Linked DNA regions of Anolis sagrei. The protein of the gene in region 1 purifies or fractionates together with the protein of each later gene. This does not show direct contact. Links are inferred from orthologs where the notes say so. Each region holds a gene or a part of one and is shown in the gene's direction. Other genes may lie near its edges.

What was found. Proteins that work in one complex are often made in the same cells at the same time.
Region 2: the proteins of HNRNPA1 (region 1) and DDX17 purify together in Homo sapiens (affinity purification with mass spectrometry; 4 studies listed by BioGRID, with this or other methods). This does not show direct contact. The link is inferred for Anolis sagrei from reciprocal best matches to the Homo sapiens genes HNRNPA1 and DDX17.
Region 3: the proteins of HNRNPA1 (region 1) and DUSP11 purify together in Homo sapiens (affinity purification with mass spectrometry; 3 studies listed by BioGRID and IntAct, counting the BioPlex papers as one, with this or other methods). This does not show direct contact. The link is inferred for Anolis sagrei from reciprocal best matches to the Homo sapiens genes HNRNPA1 and DUSP11.

What each region holds. Positions count from the first base shown.
Region 1 is NC_090022.1:188,554,391-188,562,151, reverse strand, and holds the start of HNRNPA1 (heterogeneous nuclear ribonucleoprotein A1), read left to right. Parts: upstream 1-4,760; 5' UTR 4,761-4,867; coding exon 4,868-4,882; intron 4,883-4,972; coding exon 4,973-5,011; intron 5,012-7,520; coding exon 7,521-7,637; intron 7,638-7,761. UniProt on the Homo sapiens protein: Involved in the packaging of pre-mRNA into hnRNP particles, transport of poly(A) mRNA from the nucleus to the cytoplasm and modulation of splice site selection.
Region 2 is NC_090025.1:163,996,521-164,004,281, forward strand, and holds the start of DDX17 (probable ATP-dependent RNA helicase DDX17), read left to right. Parts: upstream 1-4,756; 5' UTR 4,757-5,004; coding exon 5,005-5,048; intron 5,049-7,761. UniProt on the Homo sapiens protein: As an RNA helicase, unwinds RNA and alters RNA structures through ATP binding and hydrolysis.
Region 3 is NC_090027.1:22,756,905-22,764,818, reverse strand, and holds the start of DUSP11 (RNA/RNP complex-1-interacting phosphatase), read left to right. Parts: upstream 1-4,909; 5' UTR 4,910-5,012; coding exon 5,013-5,041; intron 5,042-7,914. Other genes in the region: KANSL3 (KAT8 regulatory NSL complex subunit 3), read right to left, coding at 1-170, 2,283-2,500. UniProt on the Homo sapiens protein: Possesses RNA 5'-triphosphatase and diphosphatase activities, but displays a poor protein-tyrosine phosphatase activity. In addition, has phosphatase activity with ATP, ADP and O-methylfluorescein phosphate (in vitro). Binds to RNA.

The sequences.
Region 1 (7,761 bases):
AAAATCAAAACATTACGACATCAAAAATGATCACCATGGGCAGGGCCAAATTCAGGAATTAAAATTTTTAAACACTGTAAAATATCAAGGAGGGGTTCCGGGGGATGAGGTAAGATTTAATTGCACAACAAGAAAATAAAGTGCTTCTGAGGGCATTTTATGCAGAGTTTGGTCAGAGATTATCATGTAATCAATCACTGAAAGCATATTGGAACAGCCAATGAATCACATACCTAAACCTTTTTGCACTGCTGGGCAAGAGGAGAGAGGGGCAGCAATGGCTGTGAAAACACTGGTAGGAAGCTGATGGTAGCCATGAAAAAACTGGTAGGAAGGCCAGACAGAAGGCACAGCTTCCCAACAGCCTTTTTACAACCACTACTACTTTGATTTACATTCGATAGCAATTCCTGTTTTTGTAATGCATACCTTCAAAACGAAGGTGCACATAACATTCAATGACGCATTATACTCAAATAACTATGGGCATTGATCCCATGAAGATCAGTACTTGCTCCTGATATACTTACTTCATTGAAATCAGTTCCTATGTGGGCGTGTGGCAGAGTCATTTCATTACCCTTAGCCCCCTTTTATACAGATTGAATAACTCTTATCCAAATTCTTGGGCTCAGAAGTGTTTTGGATTTTAGAATACTTACATTTGCATATATATACTTAATGAGATAGCCTGTAAATATACACATAACCTAAAGATAATTATATAGAATGGCGTTTTTATTATTTTTGTGCATGAAACAAAGCTTATGTATGCTGAGCCATCAGATAGCAAAGATGTTATCTCAGCCACCTATGAGGAAGATATTGGATTTTGGAATTCCAGCTAAGTGATGCGCAATCTGTATTACATTACAACACTCAATAAAAATAAGATTCAAAGCAGAAATAACATTGGAGGAAATGATCACAAAAGAATCCACCTGCCAAAATTTAGAAAGTCAAGCAAAGGAATATTTGTTGTGTTCCAGGTCTTAGTTCTTGCACAAGAATATTTCTTTATGCTGCTCCTCATAGTAAATGCTTTCCCACATAGAAGATTACAGAATTTACAGGCACATACATTGTTCTAGTCTACTTCAGGACATTCCTGACCATTTTTTCAACACCCCACACCTATTGATGGATTACACAACACTTAGCAATAACTAACTTTATCGAAGTCTTGGCGGAGAAACACAAGACTAGGTAAGATTTTCAAGTTATTATATTTCAGGCACACTTTTCAATTCAATTTGGGTCGCAATGTAAGAATGGAGAAGTCAAAATGGGACACTAAATATTACAATACTGTATAACTAGAGTATAACTATATGATGTTTGACTATTGTAGATGGGTCTATACATTGCACAATAGACTTTCAGTTAACTGGAATTCAAGCAACCAGAACTCTCAAGCTATCAAAGAAATAATCAGATCAGACCCCACCTGTTTGAAATACCTTTTAAATGAACTGCAACAGAAGCCTAGTATTTTGTAGTATTTTATTGTCATATGGAAATTTTAGACTGCTTTTAATTTAATGGTAATTTTTAATTTTCTATAAGGGAGCATCCATTTAACTCTTTTGGGTTGTTTTAATCAATGGTTTTATATTATACTGTATGTTTTAATGATGTTGTGAATTACTTTGGGTCTGCTGGAGAAAGGCGGTATAGAAATTCCTGAAATAAATAAGTAATACTGTATACACAAAGCAATTTTTAAAATACAGCAAAACTGTGATGTTATGTTTGGCTTTATTTGCTTTTAATTACTGTATTTCAGTATGAATATCAAGTCAATACAGAGCATATGATATACTACAGTATGTAGTATTAGCTAGACCTATTTTAAATTGTAACTCTCAAGCAACCAGACCCTAATTTATCTGGCAACTGCCTATACATTTAAAATCTATTGCTTCTCTTTTCCCTTGAATTGCATTATCATTATTATACTACTCTGCCTTTCCCCCAAGATTAGGACTGAAGGCAGCTAACAAATTAATGATCACAATAGTTTAAAAAAAACATTGAGAGTCACTATTAAAGTAAAATCAAACTATTAAACAATTCAAAATACACTTTAACGCAAGGCTGGGCAAGGTAAGAGTGAAATTCCACCCACCAAAATATTTTTTTCTTTCCCCAAATATTCCAATAAGGGTTGCGATGAGTATTTTTGAATTTTGGATTATGTGATTTTAACATTAAGATGTTAAAGCTATGTTTCAATTGTCTAAATGTTTGTGTTCTGTTTAATATGATTTTAATGGTTTCATTTATAGTTATATGTATTGTTTTAGTTATTATGTTTGGTGTGTATATATCTCGGCATTGAATCTTGCCATTACTTGATATACACCACTTTGAGTCCTATCCCCACCCCCCGGGGTGTGAAAAGTGGTTTTGTTTGTTTTGTCATGTCAGAAGCAACGTGAGAGACTGCAAGTTGCTTCTGGTGTGACAGAGTTGGCCGTCTGCAAGGATGTTGCCCAGATGATTGGATGTTTTTATCATCCTTGTGGGAGGCTTCTCTCATGTCCTCGCATGAGGAGCTGGAGCTGATAGAGGGAGCTCATCTGTCTCTCCCCGGATTTGAATCTGCGACCTGTCGGTCTTCAGTCCTGCCGACACAGGGGTTTAACCCACTGCGCCACTGGGGGCTCCTGTGAAAAGTGGTGTATAAACACAGTCAATAAATAATAATATTAAAAACCCACCTACTCAGCACTGAAGAAGTCTCAGTTCTTAGGTTAAACTACAAAAATACATGACACAGATTATTTTTCGTTAAGATGGGTATTGCTGAAATAATATTTCCATTGAAATTTAGCATCATCTCAGGCCCCTTCCACACAGCTGAATAAAATCCCTCATTATCTGCTTTGAACTGGATTATATTGCAGTGTGAATTTAATGTATTGTCAAAGGCTTTCATGGCCGGAATCACTGGGTTGTTGTACGTTTTTTCAGGCTATATGGCCATGTTCTAGAGGCATTCTCTCCTGACGTTTCACCTGCATCAATGGCAAGCATCCTCAGAGGTAGTGAGACAAACGTCAGGAGAGAATGCCTCTAGAACATGGCCATTTAGCCCGAAAAAACCTACAACCCAGTGTGAATTTAGATAACCCAGTTCAAAGCAGATATTGTGGAATTTTATGCCTTAATATTCTGGGTTATATGGCTGTGTGGAAGGACCCTGGGAAAACCGCTGCCCTTTCTGTTTTTAAGTCACCCAAGTTTATGGGATTCCGAGCTTTTTAAACTATCGCTTTGCAATGAGGGCAGCCCCGGCAAACGTTAGCAGGCATTGCCAATTTCTTGAGCAAAAGACAAGAGACACGCACAAGATCTGAAGGGCTGAACGGTCTGCCATGTTGGCGGACCGCAGAGGTACTGAAAGGACATGGACAATTCATAGGTCCCTGGATATACTGGAAATACAAAAAGGTTTGAGATTGAACAAGAAGAGCATTAGAACTAGTTCGATCATTCACTGAATCATGGACTTTACTTAAAAGACTTTGATTTCTTATTATTATGATTACTATTATTGAAAAGCAGGCCCTTATGAGCAGCACAGACCACAAGAGGGCAACTGACTTCCACGAGGGAGGAGGTTCCTGGCGGGAAAGCCGCAAACTCCGCCCGCCCACACCCACACTCCTCTTGATTGGAGAGCGCGCACGTCGCTCGAGAGGCATTCCACCAATCCCGCGAAAGAATGAGAAGCGCCCGCCCCCTCGGTCAACCCCTCCCTCCTCCCTCTCAGCATTCTCTCGCTCGGGCCGCCTCCACACCCTTCGACCCGCCAGGCTGTCACTCATGCAAGCTGGCCCCGCCCACCCTCAGGCCCCGCCCCCTCTTCCAACGGTACCACAGTGCGGTTCAGGCAAGCTCCCAATCACGCCGAGACCACGCCCCCTCCCTCTAAAGGACCGGCTTTCGCTAGCACGCCGCCCGCCGAGTTATTTCCCGTGGTCGCTCACCTGGGAGAGTGGAAAAAGTAACGGCTCGGTGCGGAACCAACTTCCCCCACCCCCTCACAACCGCCGCTTCTGCGCAACGCCCGCCAAAACAGGTTCGCAGTGCGCACGCGCCGAGCTGCCCCCCCCCTCCGCCCCTTTCTCGCGCTGGCGTGAGGCGCGCGCACCGCTCCCAGCGTCCCTCCCTCCCTTCCTCCTGTCTGACACAAGAGTGAACTTAAGGCGCATGCGTGGCTTTTGTAGGCCCCGCCTCACCGTTTGCTGCTGCTGTTGCTGCCTGGAAGCAAGCTTTTATAGATCTGAATGGCCCTTTCCACCTCTTTTATTCTAACCCCCGCTGCCACCTTCGCCAAAGGCGTTGCATACAGTTCTTGGGACCGTTAAAGGAAAAACGTTCTAAGGCTGCCAACTTAATTCCCGCCTCTGTTAAAATGAATGAAAAGAAAGCTGACCAACCGGAAAAATGGAATCCGGGTATGTAAGCCAATCACAAGAGAGATGCGTTCTAAATTGGCCAATAAAGGGAAAGCTACCATGGAGAGGGGGCGGGTGCTGCCTCAGAAATGGCGGAGGACAAAATTGAGGAGTGACAAGTATCTTACCCAATAGCAAGCGAACGGAGGTGGGCAAGCCGTGCGAAAAAGGGCGAGGTCACTATTCTGTTGTCCAATAGGTTGCGGCCAATCTGCCCGCTGCCCAATGGGAGAGGAAGCGGCTTAGGAGACTGACCAATCGTGGTTGGCCGGGGGCGGGCCTTAGTAGTGAAGCGCCGGGGCGCTGCTGACTCTGCCTCTTTCCGCCTCAGCTGCAGAAGAAGGAAGAAGCCGCGTTGGGGAGGAAGCCGGGCTAGGCCTCGCCGAGTGAATATCGCCACCATGTCGAAGTCTGAGGTAAGGTCCGCCCGCGGGCGTTTGTGTCGTGTTGTTTCGAAACCAAACCTGTGGCTTGTTTTTGTGGAATTATGTTTCCTTTGCCTTTAGGGATCGTCCGATTACGGGTGCGATATGTCTCCTAACGAAGTAAGTGTTAAAAATCCTCCCCGCGCCAATGCTGGCTGTTTTTTCCCCCCTATTGGCCATTTTTGAGCTTCTGCTTCGGCCTCCTTCCCCTTGCCGCTTGGGCCTGCTTTTCCTCCACCTTCCCCGGCCACTACGCATGCGCGCTGGCTTCCCGGGGCAGGCGCCATCTTTTACAGTGCGTGGCGTTCTAAGCTTTCCCCCGGCGCCTGTAATGGCTGCGCATGCGCTGTGCAGTCCAGCAGGCTTTCTCTGGAGCGCATGCGCGCCGTAGAGCACAGCTTTTCCCCCTTGAGCTCTGTGCGGGGGATGGGAAAGGGCTGAGCCACGTGATCGCTCGCTTTGTCTCTTGAGCCCAGAATCCTCATTGATTCCATTTCGAACTTGAATAAACCCATTTGATTCATTGTGTCGAAGATTATGCAGTTTGATACAGCTTTAACTCCTACGGTTCAGTATCATTCTGAGAGATAGCCTTTTGTAAGGTCTTCAGCCTTCTCTGCCAAAGAGTGATGGTGCCTCACCAAACTACAACTCGTAGGATTCCATAACATTGAGACACAGGCAATATAATATATTATATGTACTTATAATATTGATTGTAGTATTATAATGTAATACAATATAATACTAATACAGTATAATCTATATAAACAAAAATGTAATGTTCGTTTGTGGGATTAACATAAATCAAAAACCACTGGACAAATTGACACCAAAATTGGACACAATACACCTATCAGGCCCATGAGTGACTATCACTCATAAAAACACTGAAAAACACTGCAGAAGGGAATTTAAAAGAGAAAAAATACATTACAACGCATTTGCCAAACCATATATATATATACACACACACATGCACGCAAAACGCAGACTGGGCCACAGCAATGCGTGGCAGGGGGTGGCTAGTAACATAATAAAATATAATAATTATATAGTACATGTAATATTACTAATAATTTTGCATCATAATGGTGTAGTACAATATAATAATATATGATGCTAGCATTGTACTATGCTAATAATGTAATATATAACTTGTAAGCTGCTCTGAGTCCCCTTCGGAGTGAGAGATGGCAGGGTATAAAATAGTATAGTAAATAAATAAAATAGCAATTAAATTATTAAACTACATAAATTCCATGTAGATGGACATCTTGCCTGAGAAGCATTCTGGACTCAAGCACCTTAATTATTCAGCCAGTTACACTGCTTTTGTAGTATTTAGAGAGAACTGTGTTGGTTTTGGAATATCAATCTGCAATTTTGTTGCAATTTAAAGACTACCTGACTATCCATCAGTTTTTGAGAGACCGCTCTCCCCACTGAGTTGGAGCCAGCCAGACATCGCTCCATCTTATCTTATTGTATTATATCGTATTTATATTGTAATTGTAAAAGTAAATTAATATTTTGGAAAACACCGAGCCTTTGTGACTAAAGAGTGGACTATAAATAAATAAAATAATAATGCTCAAATTTACAAAAGCTAATGCTACCAACCTGTTTTCCTCAGCCTTTAGAATGCCATTACATCCCTTTCCTTTCTTCCATACTCCACCCTTTCTAAGTTGGCGAGGTGGTCGTTACACAGTTCATTCCAAAATCTGCTTTTTATGCTTCTGTTATCTGGTGCATGGTCATGAAAGCAAAACATATTCCCATGTTGCCAAGACCCATGGTGCTCTTTCTGTGGATCCTCTGCACTATATTTACATAGACCAGAAAAAACACTTGTATTTGCAGGCAGCAGTCTTGAGCAATAGTATATATCCTTAGTCATTCATTGTAGCATGCCTTAAAAATTATTTGCTGTGGAGTCTTTAAAAATGCAATAATTTCCCCCAATGGTATGTTTATTTTTTCAGTGGCTCAATTCTGGGTTTTTTAACAGGTCTGCTAGTCAGTTTATTTATATTGCCCAACTTAATTATTCTGACAATTATGTGTGCCAGAAGTGCTGAAAACACAGGAAATGAGGCAATTGTCAGCAAAACCTATATGCTGTAATTTTCAACTCTCTTACAAAATTATGCTGCAAAACACTCTTTGTTTCAGTGTAGAAATTGAGAGAAACCCAGAAAGTACTTAAAGAAACAGTGGCATAATCTGTAATATTTGGAATCTGTGCCTAAGTGCTCCCAATGAAGTTTAAGACTTTGTAGTCAAGAGTAAGTAACATGCTAGTTTCACAAATGCTTGTGGCATGGTAAGAGTGTTTCTTTTCATTTACAGTAGGAGCTCTGCCTTCACAGGGGTTAAAGATACAGGACCCCTCTGAAATGGGAGAATCACAATTATTTTCTTTTTACCTGTGAAAATGCCTCTAGGACTCTGTTCTGGCAAAGGGTGACCATTGAGTAATTTTAGAGGACTTGGATATTCCTAAAGAGAGGATAGTACTAAAATACACAAAATGTAGACGGCGAACAGTTGAGTGAACATATTCTGCAGAACCATCCGGGCAATTTTACTTGTTGTTTTATCACCTTGCTTTTTTCTCTTTTAGTCCCCGAAGGAGCCTGAACAGCTGCGCAAACTGTTTATTGGGGGCCTCAGTTTTGAGACAACAGATGAGAGCCTTCGCAATCATTTTGAGCAATGGGGGACACTTACAGACTGTGTGGTAAGTATCTCCAGCATCTTGAGCACAGCTATTACAAGGGAAACATTTCTGGTTTGGACTGGATTGGGTATTGCAGCTTAAAGGACAGCACACCTAACAAGTATTAGAGAAGCTATTGAAAAAG
Region 2 (7,761 bases), on another chromosome or scaffold:
GAGGGGAAGGGAGGAAGAAAAGGAGAGAAGGAAGAAAGTACCGGGAAAACTAGGAATCTCCACAGGCTTTTGGAAGCATGACCCTTTCGGAAATTAATTGGTTTTCACACTGTTTGGAAAGGCATGACCTTGTTAGAGATTATAACCTTTTTGTAAAGTATGATCTTCCTGAGAAGAGTTAAAAATATGCTTGAATCAGTCTTCTCCCTAGTAGTAAATATACACTAGTATTTATGCAAGGCAATTTAGGCTTCCTAGCTGTTAGGCTGATATACCTGGTTCTCTCTCTGAACTGTTAGGAACAAAGATATGCCAATGCATCAATATAGCAGCTCATCGGAAGTGTTATTTTCAATAGCCCAAAAATATATCTACTTTCCCATAAAATATATTGCTTTTAAATCATACTTTCAAGAGACCAAAAAATAAAGTAGTCTTTGTTAAAAGTTAACATATTTTATTTACTTACAAACTTCATGTATTTAGCATACAGGTACATTGCTTATTGGTTTCATGTTAACTGAATTATATTTAAAACTGTACTATACTGTACATCTGCTGCAAACAGACTCATATATTAATTGACACCTCACTTCAGCATACTATCTACACTCCTGCTCTAACTGACATTTACTGTCTCAACTAACTTCTAACTCCCAACTGACTCGACGTTGTACCCCAGATAGAGTTCACCTTGCCATTAGCACAAACCAGAAATCCAAAAGCAGTAGTAAAATACCAGTCGGATGAGAGCACATATAAAAAGGGGAAAATCCCCCAAAGGAGTAAGAAAGGCAAAATCCAACAGATAATCAGAAAAGGTAGTCAATATATAAAAACCCAACCAAGCTGGTGAGGAGTAAAACACTTCAAAGGCAATAATCCAAATGGTACAGGAAAACAAGAATCATAATATAAACATGAATCCAGAAAAACCATGGCTATAAGAACTTAAAACATGAATCAAAACACCCAGGAACCTGAACTGGAAACATGACTTGACATCCTTACTATTAAGCAGCGTTGCCTGATCTGAACTCTCAATGAGACACTATCTAATTTAAGAGCTGCAAAACATGAAGGCATTTTTGACCTTGAGGTTCTGGCTTGTGAAACTTTGCCTGTGCATCTTTCTCAATTATTCTTTTGGATTTCCCGCACCTGATGTTTTTTTCCCTTAAGTTCCAGCCTGATATCCCTGTCTAACTCAACTGTTCTCTTGGATGAGCTATCTTGGTCTGCTAGGTCTTTATCAGGAGTTGCTATGCTCCTTGTGGGTGAAAGGTCTTCTCCCTGTCTGCTGGACTCCAAAACAGTTCCACTTTCAAACTCATTCACCACTCCCTCAGGCTCTGAAACCCCAATCCCCTCACCACAACACTCAAGCCTCAACTGACTTCTGACTTCTCAACTGTGGTGTTCCACAGGGTTCAGTCTTGTCCCTCATGTTGTTTAACATCTACATGAATGTGCTAGGTGAGATCATCTGGAGTTTTGGAGTTCAATGCCATCTGTACGCAGATGATGTCCAACTGCACTCCTTTCCACCAGATGCTAAGGAGGCTGCCCAGGTCGTGAACCAATGCCTAGCTGCTGTGACAGTCTGGATGAGGGCGAAAAATTTGAAGTTGAATCCAGACAAGACAGAGGTCCTCCTGGTCATTTGCAAGGATGGGGTTACATTCCCTCTGAAGGCGCAGGTTCGCAGCTTGGGAGTTCTCCTGGACTCATTGCTGAGCCTGGAGCTTCAGGTTTCGACGGTGACTAGGGGGGCTTTCGTACAATTAAAACTTGTGTGGCAGTTGCACCCATACCTTGGAAAGTCAGACTTGGCTATGGTGGTCCACGCTCTCTTTACATCCAGGATAGACTACTGCAATGCACTCTACATGGGGTTGCCTTTGAAGACTATTTGGAAGCTTCAAATAGTCCAACAAGAGGCAGCCAGGTTAATAACTTGGCACACAACTCCCATGTTACGTCAGCTCCACTGGCTGCCTGTTTGCTACCGGGCACAATTCAAAGTGCTGGCTTTGGCCTACAAAGCCCTAAACACCCTGGTCCAGTTTACCAGTCTGAATGCATCTCCCTTTATGAACCAACATGAAGACTAAGATCTTCTGGGGAGGCCCCGCTCTTGGTCCTGCCTCTGTCACAGGCGTGTTTGGCGGGGATGAGAGAGAAGGCCTTCTCAGTTATTGCCACCCGGCTATGGAATTCCCTTCCTGATGAGATTAGATCAGCCCCCTCTCTTCTGTCCTTCAGAAAGATGCTAAAGACCTGGTTGTAGGACCAAGCCTTTGGGGCAGTGCAATGATGCAACAATAGGGAACTTCACTGACCAGGGCCAGCATGGTGTCTCGAGACGGTTTTGAACAGCTGATTTAAAAGTAGATATGAATGATTTTAATGTTTGTGTATATTTATAGTTATTTTATGTCCCGGCATGGAATATTTGCTGTTGAGTCCCCTTCAGGGTGAGAAGGGTAGAATACAAATGTTTCAAAGAATAATAATAATTCTAACTGACTTAACTGACTCCAACAGACTTCTGATTCAAACGCATTCTGAAATGGAGTCCCACTCTGAACACTCTAAGAACAGGGTCACGTGATCTCTAGTCCCTCCCACAACCTCTAACAACATAGAGTTAAGGGCAAAACTGCATACCAATATATACATACAATATAGCCAGCAATCTCAATTATATACAAAAACAAATATCTAGTGTAGGAAACTGGTAGGAGATTGCTATTTTCAACATGTAGTGGGGGAAGGATAACAGAATAGAAAAAAGGTATAAGAGAGGAGAGGAAAGTATGAGAAAGGAAGGAAGGAAGAAAGGAATGAAAGAAGGGCGGGAAGAAAGAAAAAAGTGAAGAGAAAGGAAAAAAGGAAGAGGGGAGGGGAGGATAGTAAAGAAAGGAAGAGAAGAAAGAAGCATGAGGGGGAAAAAAGGAAGAGCAAGCAAATAAAAGCGAAGATGTATGAGAAAAAGCAAGAGAAGAAGGAAAGGGAGATGGACAAGGCATATGAGGCAAAAGGAAGAAGAAAAGAAAAAGCCACAAAGAAAATGCAAATATATATGGGAGTATGTTGTCAAAGGCTTTGATGGCCGGAATCACTGGTTTGCTATGAATTTTCTGGGCAGTACAGCCCTGTTCCAGAAGCATTTTCTCTTGATGTTTCGCCCACATCTATGGCAGGCACTATTTATTTATTTTAATTATTTTGAATGTTTTTACCCTGCCCTTCTCAACCTCAACTCAGGGCAGCTTCCAACTGGCAACAATTCGATGCCGCATAATAAAATACAAAACACCAATAATTATAATAGTTAAAAGCATAAAAACATAAAACATTAAAACAATATACTTAGAGTCCACTGAGTTATTACCAGTCTGGTGGTCATTTAACTAGCTGTATACTATGATTGAGTACTCTGTTTAACTTATCCATAATCCATTTCCAAGCCATTGTCAACATTGTCAATTGTCATTTCTGCTTAATTACCCGAAGGCTTGGTCCCACATCCACGTTTTTATCTTCTTTCTAAAGGTGAGGAGGGATGATGATGACCTAATTTCCCCGGGGAGTGAATTCCACAGGCGGGGGGCCACCACCGAGAAGGCCCTGTCCCTCATCTCCACCAAACGTGTTTGAGACAGAGGCGGGGCCGAGAGCAGAGCCTGCCCAGAAGATCTTAAACTCCAAGGTGGGATGTAGGAGATACTTTCGGACAGGTACGCTGGACCAGAGCTGTATATTGTTTTGAGGATGTGTACCTCACAATCTCTGAGGATACCTAGAATAATAGAATCATACAGTTGGAAGAGACCTCATGGGCCATCCAGTCCAACCCCCTGCCAAGAAGCAGGAATATTGCATTCAAAGCACCCCCCAACTGATGGCCATCCAGCCTGTTTAAAAGCCTCCAAAGATGAGGGCAAAATGTCAGGAGAGAATGCTTCCAGAAAATTGCCATACAGCCCGGAAAACTCACAGCAATCCAATATACACAAGTAGGTTTTTTTAATTTCAGAAATTGATTGTGAAAAAAGCATTTTATTGCCATTGTTATTAGCATTATTAAAGAATCAGTCGTAGAAATAAAAAAAAACTTTACTTCAGCTGCGGATGAACTATACAAAAACCAAGTCTGAGTTCCTTAGAAACAAGGAGAAACCAGTCATCCTGGCTACAGACACAAATATATAACTCGGCTGCTTTTTCTGGGATTGTTTCACTGATTGATGTATCAAAGCACATTAATAGCTAGACAGAAGTGAACTTAAATGTACAGACTTTCTGTATTTTTGAAGGGCCAAACAGAGAAAGCTGGGGGTGAAGTCTCCATATCTTCCTTTGTGGCCTAAGTCTAAGAGAACAGTTCATTGTTCCACAAAGCCGGTCCCGCCTCTTGCCTGTCCAGTTGGAAGTTAGTATTCTTTAAACAAAAATACGCTACAGAGAGTGCGGAGTTGTGCTCCTTCCCAGCAGTTCCTACGCCGGAAACTAGTTTCTTTACGCTAAAACCGGCACAGGGAGCTTACGCAGATTGCGGAGGCGGTTGTGTTTCTTCCGGGGTTCGATGATTCGAGAATAGGCAGAAAGGTGGCGTTAGCCTGGACTTTGTCAGCGTATCTTAGGGGCAACTTGGCGAAAGTGCCGTTGAATGCGCAATTAGCGCACAATTGGCTATTCAGAGACGCGCTTTACGCAAGAGTGGGCTGGGCTGATAACGTAAAGTGAGGCGAGCTCGGGCGGCGGCGGCCATTTTGTGTCAGCAGGCCGGAGAAGAAAGACAGGGGAGGTTCTCCTCAGCGGCGCCTGGCTCGAGTCGGCCCGGAATTTGACCCCAAGCGCCTCTCGAGTCAAGGAAATAAAGCTCCGAAGGCTGCTTCTGAAAGGATTTAGACAGAAGCTGCTTGTTGGTTCCTTCGAGGCCGGCCTGTTGTCCTTTTCTCAACCCCCGCGCCGGCGACTGACTCTCGGCCTTCGAGGATGCGAGGCTTCGGGGACCGAGGCCGCGACCGAGACCGCGGCGGGTGAGTGGATGAGGCCTAGCAAAGGACGCCACGCGAAAGCTCCCTTTAGGGGGCCTCCCAGGCTGAACGTTAGGCCTTTCTTGGTCACTATCAAAGCAGAGGGAAATAAGGGGTCGTCTACACTGTCGATTTAATCCAGTTTGCGTCACTATTGCTGTGGAATCCAGGGATTTGTCGCACTCTCCCCCCCCCCCCCGGCTATGTCCCTGGAGAAACTACAGCGCCCAAAGAATAATAATAATAATCATACAAATACAATATATACCATTATTATTATTATTATTATTATTATTATTATTCTTTGGGCGTTGTAGTTTCTCCAGGGAATAATAATAATAATAATGGTATATATTGTATTTGTATGATTATTATTATTATTCTTTGGGCGCTGTAGTTTTATTATTATTATTATTATTATTATTATTCTTTGGGCGTTGTAGTTTCTCCAGGGAATAATAATAATAATAATGGTATATATTGTATTTGTATGATTATTATTATTATTATTCTTTGGGCGTTGTAGTTTCTCCAGGGAATAATAATAATAATAATAATGGTATATATTTATTATTATATAATAATAATAATTATTATTATTATTCCCTGGAGAAACTACAACGCCCAAAGAAGAAGAAGAATAATCATACAAATACAATATACACCATTATTATTATTATTCCCTGGAGAAACTACAATGCCCAAAGAATAATAATAATAATTCTTATTCCCTGGAGAAACTACAATGCCAATTATTATTATTATTATTATTTGGCATTGTAGTTTCTCCAGGGATTTAGCCCTGGAGAGACTAATAATAAAAAACCACACTTTAAACATAAATCATATTAAAAACAGTGCATCAGCAAATATCAAAACAGTTAGAAGGCGCGTTTACAATAAAATTAAACTAGCTTCATCTGCTCTGGCTCAATGTTATGGTATCCAGGGAGTTGTAGTTCTATAAAGGGATTTCCAGCCAAAGAGGGGTTGGTGCCTCTGCAGCTGCTACAATTCTATAGCATTGAGCCCTGGCAGTTGAAGTTTTGTCAAACTCTAAAGTAGGTAGGGAGCCAACTTGGGCCCTCCAGGTGTTTTGGACTCCAACTCCCACCATTCCTAACAGCCTCAGGCCCCTTCCTTTTCCCCCTCAGCCGCTTAAGCAGGAAAGGGCCTGAGGCTGTTAGGAATGGTGGGAGTTGAAGTCCAAAACACCTGGAGGGCCCGAGTTTGCCCACATCCGCTCTACAATGTAAGTCAGTTGAGGTCACACTTACAATAAACTTTATTTATATCCCATCCTCTCTCCCCAAGGTCTCATGGCGGCTCACAATGGACTCTTTTAAGTCACAATACTGTGGACTCTTTTAAGTCACATTATGAATTATGACTTTGAATCTTGTGTTGTGTTAATGTACTGATATGTTTACTATTTTTTCTGCTTTTCTCCTGATTTTAATGTATGGTGTATATTGTATTTGTATGATTATGTTTGTTATGGCATTGAATTATTGCCAATCTGGAAGCCGCTCTGAGTCCCCTTTGGAGTGAGATAGAGTGGGGTAAAAATATAGAAAATTATAAGCAGAAGACATCATGTACAACCTATAATCATAAACCAAAAGTTTGAAAAACGAATCACAATAAAATAAATGTACTTCTAAAGTGCCATCTACACTAGTGGTTCTCAACCTATGGGTCCCCAGGTGTTATGGCCTACAACTCCCAAAAATCCCAGGCAGTTTACCAGCTGTTAGGATTTCTTGGAGTTGAAGGCCAAAACATCTGGGGACCCAGAAGTTGAGAACCACTGATCAACACTGACCATTTAAGGCAGTTTGGATTCTATTTATCTCCTAATATATCAAGTTAGAATTGCAGCCTAGTTGTTTTGGAACTCATAAAATTTCTTTCTGGATCAGAAAAAAATATGTATTGTGACATTCCTGAAAATGGCCTAGCCTTAGGCTGAATCTTTATTCAGCAGGATTTGGAAAATCACAAGACAGTGAATGATACCTTTCTGAATGGGAGCAACGAGATTTTATTATGCTTTTAAGTAATTATTTTATATTGCTTTCATTTATTAACTTTGGTTAGTTATTATAAGTGATGTTATCGTATTATTGGTTTGAATTGGTTTGTGTGTTTTCATTAATGGCATTGAATGTTTGCCACTTTTTTGTGTGGAAACTACCCTGAGTCCACTTGGGGAGATAGAGCAGATTATAAATAAAGTGTTGTTGTTGTTAGATACACAACAAGATTAGTACACAGCAAATAAGATCACTAAGCTGACTTTTATATTTGATCACACGTCAAGACACTTCCCAAGTGTCTAGAACTGTGTAATGTATTGGGGTTTTGTTTTGTTTTTTTGCCGTGTCAGGAGCGACTTGAGAAACTGTAAGTTGCTTTTGACGTGAGAGAATTGGACGTCTGCAAGGACGTTGCCCAGGGGACGCCTGGATGTTTTGATGTTTTATCATCCTTGTTGGGAGGGTTCTCTCATATCCCTGCATGAGGAGCTGGAGCTGATAGAGGGAGCTCATCCGCATTCTCCTGGGGTTTGAACCTGCGACCTATCAGTCTTTAGCCCTGTCAGCACAAGGGTTTAACCCACTGCGCCACCGGGGGCTCCTAATTGTATTGGTGAATAATGTGTACAAATCCAGGTAGGGTGGCCTCCTGACAATTTTGTCAGCGCAGATTGTTT
Region 3 (7,914 bases), on another chromosome or scaffold:
TGTTCATATGTTCCTCCCAGTCATCTGGGGGAGGCGGGGTGTCCGTATCAGTGCGAGCAAAGATCACGTGTCTTTCACATTCGTTCATCACCGTCCGGGCCTTCTGGTTGTCATACAGTGGAACTGGCGTAGGGGTCACCGTTTCCACATCAATAGGGACATCGGCCTCACTGGAAACAGACATTGCCATTTCAGGGAAAAGAACCACTGGTTCCAGCTGGTTAATGTCCTCTTAACAAGAAAACCTCTGGGACATAATGTCTGTATACAACACACCATGGACTAAACCAATGGTTCTCAACCTTCCTAATACCGTGACCCCTTCACACAGTTCCTCATGTTGTGGTGACCCCCCAACCATAAAAAGTATTTTCGTTGCTACATCATAACTCTCATTTTGTTACTGTTATGAATCGTAATCTATATAAATAAAAATGTAATGTTCGTTTGTGGGATTACTAGAACTCAAAAACCACTGGGGGAATTGACACCAAATTTGGACACAAGACACCTAACAACCCAATGTATGTCCTTCACTAAAAAAAATGATTTTGTCATTTGGGAGTTGTAGTTGCTGGGATTTATAGTTCACCTACAATCAAAGAGCATTCTGAACCCCATCAACGATGGAATTGAATCAAACTTGGCACACAGTTCTCCCATGACCAACAGAAAATACTGGAAGGCGGGCAGTGTCCTTTGGTTTTGGAGTTGTAGTTCACCTACATCCAGAGAGCACTGTGGACTCAAACAATGATGGATCTGGACCAAACCCTACACGAATATTCAATATGCCCAAATGTGAACAATGGTGGAGTTTGGGGGAAATAGAATTTTGACATTTGGGAGTTGTAGTTGCTGGGATTTATAGTTCACCTACAATCACAGAGAATTCTGAATCCCACCAATGATAGAAATGGGCCAAACTTCCCACACAGAACCCCCATGTGGGCCACAGCAATGCGTGGCAGGGGACGGCTAGTGTAAATATCTGATATGCAGGATGTATTTTCATTCACTGGACCAAGTTTGGCACAAATATTAAATCCTCCCAAATTTGAATACTAGTGGGGTTGGAGAGGGATGGATTTTGTCATTTGGGAGTTGTAGTTGCTGGCATTTATAGTTAATCTGTGATCAAAGAACAATCTGAATTCCACCAACAATGGAATTGAACCAAACTTGGCACACAGAACTCCTATGGCCAACAAAAAAACTGGAAGGGTTTGGTGAGCATTGACCTTGAGTTTTGGAGTTGTAGTTCACCTACATCCAGAGAGCACTGTAGGCACAAACAATGATGGATCTGGACCAAACTTGGCACAAATAGCCGATATGTCCAAATTTGAATACTGGAGAAAATAATGGAGCCCCCGGTGGCGCAGTGAGTTAAACCCCTGTGCCGGCAGGACTGAAGACCGACAGGTCGCAGGTTCGAATCCAGGGAGAGGCAGATGAGCTCCCTCTATCAGCTCTAGCTCCCAATTGCGGGGACATGAGAGAATCCTACCACAAGGATGATAAAAAAAAAACCCATCAAATCATCCGGGCATCCCCTGGGCAATGTCCTTGCAGACGGCCAATTCTCTCACACCAGAAGTGACTTGCAGATTCTCAAGTTGCTCCTGACACGACCAAAAAAAGGGGGGGGGAATAGACCTTGGCATTTGGGAGTTGTAGTTGCTGGGATCTATAGTTCACCTACAATCAAAGAGCATTCTGAACTCCTCCAAGGATAGAATTGGGCCAAACTTCCCATACAGAACCTCCATGACCAACAGAAAATACTGTGTTTTCTGATGGTGTTTGGCGATTCCTCTGACACCCCCTTGTGACTCCCCAGGGGGCTTTAGACTAAACTAAGCAGATATAGAACGGAATAAGGAAGTGAGGATCAATCATATTTGTGATTTCTCTGTGGAATTTAAAATTGGACAGTAAAGGGGGGGGGGGAATCAAATAATTTGAAATGTAGAGCTAGAAGAGACCACAGACCACTAAAAAAGACAAACATATGGGTCCGAGAACAAACCAAGCCTGGATTCTCGGTATTTTGGTCATAGAATGAGACAATGCTACTTCTTAGGAAAGACAATAACACTTGGAAAAGTGGAAGCAAGAAAAAAAAAGAGAAAATACAATACAGATGGACTGATTCAATCTAAGCAGCAACAGTTTCCCAGAATTTGTAAGATTGGGATTGGGGATCCTGTAGGTTTCTAAGTCAAGAGATCTTCCTAAGTCAACATGCACAGACAGCGAGACAGACGAGTGACACTTACATGGTGCCGCTGTCTTGGTGCCTCTTAGGTGTCACAAAGAGCAGGCGGGTAGGGCGGGCATTGCTGGCATCTGGGTGGGCACTCCAGGGCTTGGCATAGCTGTGATCCAGGAAGACCAGGTCCAGCTCTCTCTCGTGGACCGACAGCTGGAAAAGCAGGGAGGTCCCCATTCTCCGTGCAGAGGTCTGGAAATCGCGTTCGTTGCCTCGGTATGACATGTCTCCACGTCTTTGGCTGCTAACGCCGTTGGGGCAAAGGACTCCTCTTGCCCCTCATCCTGGTCCCTGGCAGGAAAGGAAGAGAGAAGCACCAAGAAATTGGCTTCTTCACACATCTGTTTATTTCTGAGGGGCTGCTGATACAGATTGGAGCCTGGGTCTGTAAATTTAGGATCTGCTATGAGTTTGGGCCTGCAGAAGCACCTCCCAAGATTTCCAGGAGTTCATATTGTGCATTCCTATGCATATAAAAGGTAAAGGTTTTCCCCTGACATTATGTCCAGTCATGTCCAACTCTGGGGTGTGGTGCTCATCTCCATTTCTAAGCCAAAGAGCCAGCATTGTCCGTAGACACCTCAAAGGCCATGTGGCTGGCATGACTGCATGGAGCGCCGTTTTATATATATATAACTATGTATATTTACTATGTATATAGTAAATCCTATACTATGGGACTACCTGGGTCCATAAGGTGACTCAATCCAAATGTTTGAGAAGTGGACAGCAGTATCCTTGGGTTGCTGTGAGTTTTTCAGGCTGTATGACCAGCTTCCGGAAGCATTTTCTCCTGAAGTTCCGCCCACATCAATGGCAGGCATCCTCAGAGGTTGTGAGGTATATTGGAAACTAAGCAATATATGTGGAAGGCCCATGGTGGGAGAAAGAACTCTTGTCTGTTGGAGGCCAGTGTGAATGCTGCAATTACTCACCTGGCTGATTCCTGCCTGGGGAAATCCTTTGTTGGGAGGGGTAAACTGGCCCTGATTATTCCATATTTTCTGAGTGTTGCTCTTTATTTACTGTTCTGATTTTAGAGGGTTTTTTTTAGTACAGTAGAGTCTTGCTTATCCAACACAAATGGGCTAGCAGAATGTTGGATAAGCAAAAATGTTGGATAATAAGGGCAGATTAATGAAAAGCCTATTAAATGTCAAATTACCTTATGATTTTACAAATTAAGCACCAAAACATAATGTTTGACGACAAATCAACAAAAAAAGCAGTTCAACACAGTAACGTTATGTATTAATTACTGTATTTACAAATATAGTACCAAAACATCGCAATGTATGCGGAAACAGAAGAATGGCCTGTCTCAGGGGAGCGTGCTTGCTCCATCCACGTTCAACATCTACACAAATGACCAGCCACTGCCAGACGGGACAGAGAGTTTCATCTATGCAGATGATCGTGCCATTACTGCTCAAGCAGGAGCTTTGAGATGGTTGAACAGAAGCTCTCCGAAGCTCTAGGTGCTCTTACTGCCTATTACAGGAAAAACCAGCTGATCCCTAATCCATCTAAAACACAGACATGTGCCTTTCATCTCAAGAACAGAGAAGCATCCCGAGCTCTGAGGATTACCTGGGAAGGAATCCCACTGGAGCATTGCAGCGCACCCAAATACCTGGGAGTCACTCTGGATCGTGCTCTTACCTACAAGAAGCACTGCCTGAACATCAAGCAAAAAGTGGGTGCCAGAAACAATATCATATGAAAGCTGACTGGCACAACCTGGGGATCACAACCAGATACAGTGAAGACATCTGCCCTTGCGCTGTGCTACTCTGCTGCTGAGTATGCATGCCCAGTGTGGAACACATCTCACCACACTAAAACAGTGGATGTGGCTCTTAATGAGACATGCCGCATTATCACGGGGTGCCTGCGCCCTACACCACTGGAGAAATTACACTGCTTAGCCGGTATTGCACCACCTGGCATCCGCCGGGAAGTAGCAGCCAATAGTGAAATGCTATTCTCTCCTGACGTTTTGCCTGCATCTATGGCAAGCATCCTCAGAGGTTGTGAGGTCTGTTGGAGCAAAGAAAATTGGGTTTTTATATATATGTGGAATGTCCAGGGTGGGACAAAGAACTCTTGTCTGTTGGAGGTAGGTGTGAATGTTTCAACTGACCACCTTGATTAGGATTTGATGGACTGGCAGTGCCTGGGACAATCTTTTGTTGAGGGGTGATTAGATGTCCCTGATTGTTTCCTCTTTGTTGTTTTGCTGTTGCAATTTTAGAGTTTTTTAAATACTGGTAGCCAGATTTTGTTCAATTTCATGGTTTCCTCCTTTCTGTTGAAGACCCTCTGAAGGTGCCATTTGCCACAGATGCAGGCGAAACGTCAGGAGAGCATGATATTGGAACAGGGCCGCTGTTGAGTATGTGCAGAGTTGCCCAAAGGCCTTTACTCACCTTTAAGAGCGGCCTCGATCCCGACGGGGCTTGAACGGAGAGACGTTGAGGGAAGAGGAAAACAAGCAGGCGAGACTCTCACTTTAGCCCCGGCCGCCAGCCAGGCAGGCCTCAGCCTCTTCTGCGCATGCGCGCTTCTTTTTTTTCCCCCTTCGACGCTGATTGGACGCCGAGCCTCCCCTGTCCCGACGCGGTGACGTCACCCCAGCACGTCGGCGCAAAAAAACGGAAGCGGATGTTTAACCGACTTTGGTAGGAAGGGACTCGAGGGAAGCGCCTCGTTGGAAGCAGAGGCCTGAGGAAAGGAAATGGGAAAGAAGAACAAGCTACCGGATAGGTAAGAACGTGAGACCGGATTACACAGAGCCTTCCTGGCCCAACCTGAAAGAAGGGAGAGCCTAGGCCAGGCATGGGCCAACTTGGGCCCTCCAGGTGTTTTGGACTTCAACTCCCACAATTCCTAACAGCCGTTAGGCTGTTAGGAATTGTGGGAGTTGAAGTCCAAAACACCTGGAGGGCCCAAGTTGGCTCATGCCTGGCATCGAAGGTAAAACTGAAAAGAAAAATGGGTTCCTCTAAAACTGTGGAGACCAAAATCCACTGATTGTGGTAATGTGAAAGTATTTAAATTAATGTATTGTCGAAGGCTTTCATGGCTGGAATCACTAGGTTCTTGTGGTTTTTTTCGGGCTATAGAGCCATGTTCTAGAGGCATTTCTCCTGACGTTTCGCCTGCATCTATGGCAAGCATCCTCAGAGGTAGTGAGGTCTGTTGGAATTAGGACAATGGGTTTATATATCTGGGCTCTCCAGGCCAATGGAGACTCCACCTCAGACATCAGAAGAGCTGCAAGACCAAGAACAAGCCACAAGAGTAAAGATGAAGATCCACCCAGAGGAAAAGTGTTCCTGCCATACATCAAGGGAACCACTGATTGCATAGGGAAGCTGATGAGGAAACACAACATACAAACAATCTACAAACCCACCAAGAAAATCCAACAAATGCTACGTTCAGCAAAGGACAAGAGGGATCCTCTCACCTCTGCAGGAGTCTACCGTATACCATGCAGCTGTGGACAAGTTTACATAGGGACCACCAAACGCAGCATTGCCCAAACACGAATCAAGGAACTTGAAAGGCACTGCAGACTACTTCAACCAGCAGAGCACCTGATGAACCAGCCTGGACACAGCATATTATTTGAGAACACAGAAATGCTGGGCCACACCAACAACCACCATGTCAGACTACACAGAGAAGCCATTGAAATCCACAAGCATGTGGGCAATTTCAACAGAAAGGAAGAGACCATGAAAATGGACAAAATCTGGCTACCAGTATTAAAAAATTCTAAAATTACAACAGCAAAACAACAGAGAGGAAAAAACCAGGCACAGATTAACACCTCCCAGCAAGAGATTTTCCCAGGCTCAGGCAGGCCTTCAAATGCTAATGAAGGTGATCAGTTGAAACAGTCACACCTAGCTCCAGCAGGGAAGAGCTCTTTGCCCCACCCCAGCCATTCCACAGATATATAAACCCATTGTCCTAATTCCAACAGACCTCACTACCTCTGAGGATGCTTGCCATAGATGCAGGCGAAACGTCAGGAGAAATGCCTCTAGAACATGGCCCTATAGCCTGAAAAACCTTCAAGAACCTAATAATAATAATAATAATAATAATGTAATAAAACTTTATTTATACCCCGCCACCATCCCCCCAAGAGACTCGGAGCGACTTACATGAGGCCAAACCCAACAACACATCACAACAGAAAAGCAATAACAACAATACAAAGCAATTCAATATAATATCTATATAAATAAAAATGTAATCTTCGTTTGTGGGATAAACAGAACTCAAAAGCCACTGGACGAATTGACACCAAATTTGGACACAAGACATCTAACAACCCAATGTATGTCCTTCACTCAAAAAAATTGATTTATCATTTTATTATTTATTTACTTTACTTATAGACCGCTGTTCTCAGCCCGGGGTCGACTCACAGCGGTGTACAACAAACAAGAACAGCAAGATTCAAAACTACAGAATAAAAACAATTCACAACCTAACACTATACACAGTTAACACCATTACTATGATAACCATTCAGCGTCGTGTCATCATCCAAAACATAATCCAAATTTGTCTTCCGTTGTTCCATTCCTATATTCATTACCAATCACTGCACTAATTATTCGAACACCTGCTTGAACAGTCAGGTCTTCAATTTCTTGCGGAATATCATTAGAGATGGTGCTAGTCTAATGTCCGTGGGAAGGGTGTTCCACAGCCGAGGGACCACCATTTATCATTTGGGAGTTGTAGTTGCTGGGATTTATAGTTCACCTACAATCAAAGAACATTCTGAACCCCACCAACGATGGAATTGAACCAAACTTGGCACACAGATCTCCATATATGAACCCACACATTCCCTTCGATCATCTGGAGAGGCCCTGCTCATGATCCCACCTGCGTTGCAAGCGAGTTTGGTGAGGACGAGGGACAGGGCCTTCTCTGTGGTAGCCCCCCGACTCTGGAACACTCTCCCCAAGGACATCAGACAAGCCCCAACATTGGCAATTTTTAGGAAGAGCCTGAAGACCTGGCTGTTCCAGTGTGCCTTTCCAGATTAGGAAACTCCTGGCATCATGTCCCAAATGCACTTTGTTAGAGACTAGGATTGTCTGCACATTGAACCTACCTCCAACAAACCTCTACATACCTCCTGTCAAGTTCAGCACTTTTAAATTTTGTCCATTACATTTGGCCCGGCCTTTTAGATTTTAAATGCATCATGTGTCGTTGTTTTTAGTGTTTTATTGTCTTAGCTTGATGTTTTATTATTTGCTTATGAGTTTTATGTTATATTTGTATGTTGTTGTTGCGGCCTTGGCCTTTGTAAGCCGCATCGAGTCCTTCGGGAGATTTTGCGGGGTATAAATAAAGTTAATAATAATAATAATAATAATGACCAACAGAAAACACTAGAAGGGTTTGGTGGGCAGTGTCCTTTGGTTTTGGAGTTGTAGTCCACCTACATCCAGAGATCACTGTGGACTCAAACTGTCGAGACACAGACGCCTTAAAGGGGCCACACAAAGTATTAGTTCCAAAGTACAGTTTAATGCAACAAAAACACAGAAGCTCAGAGACGCTTAACTTCAGTGCCTCTGGCTAAAACTCAAAAAATTAGC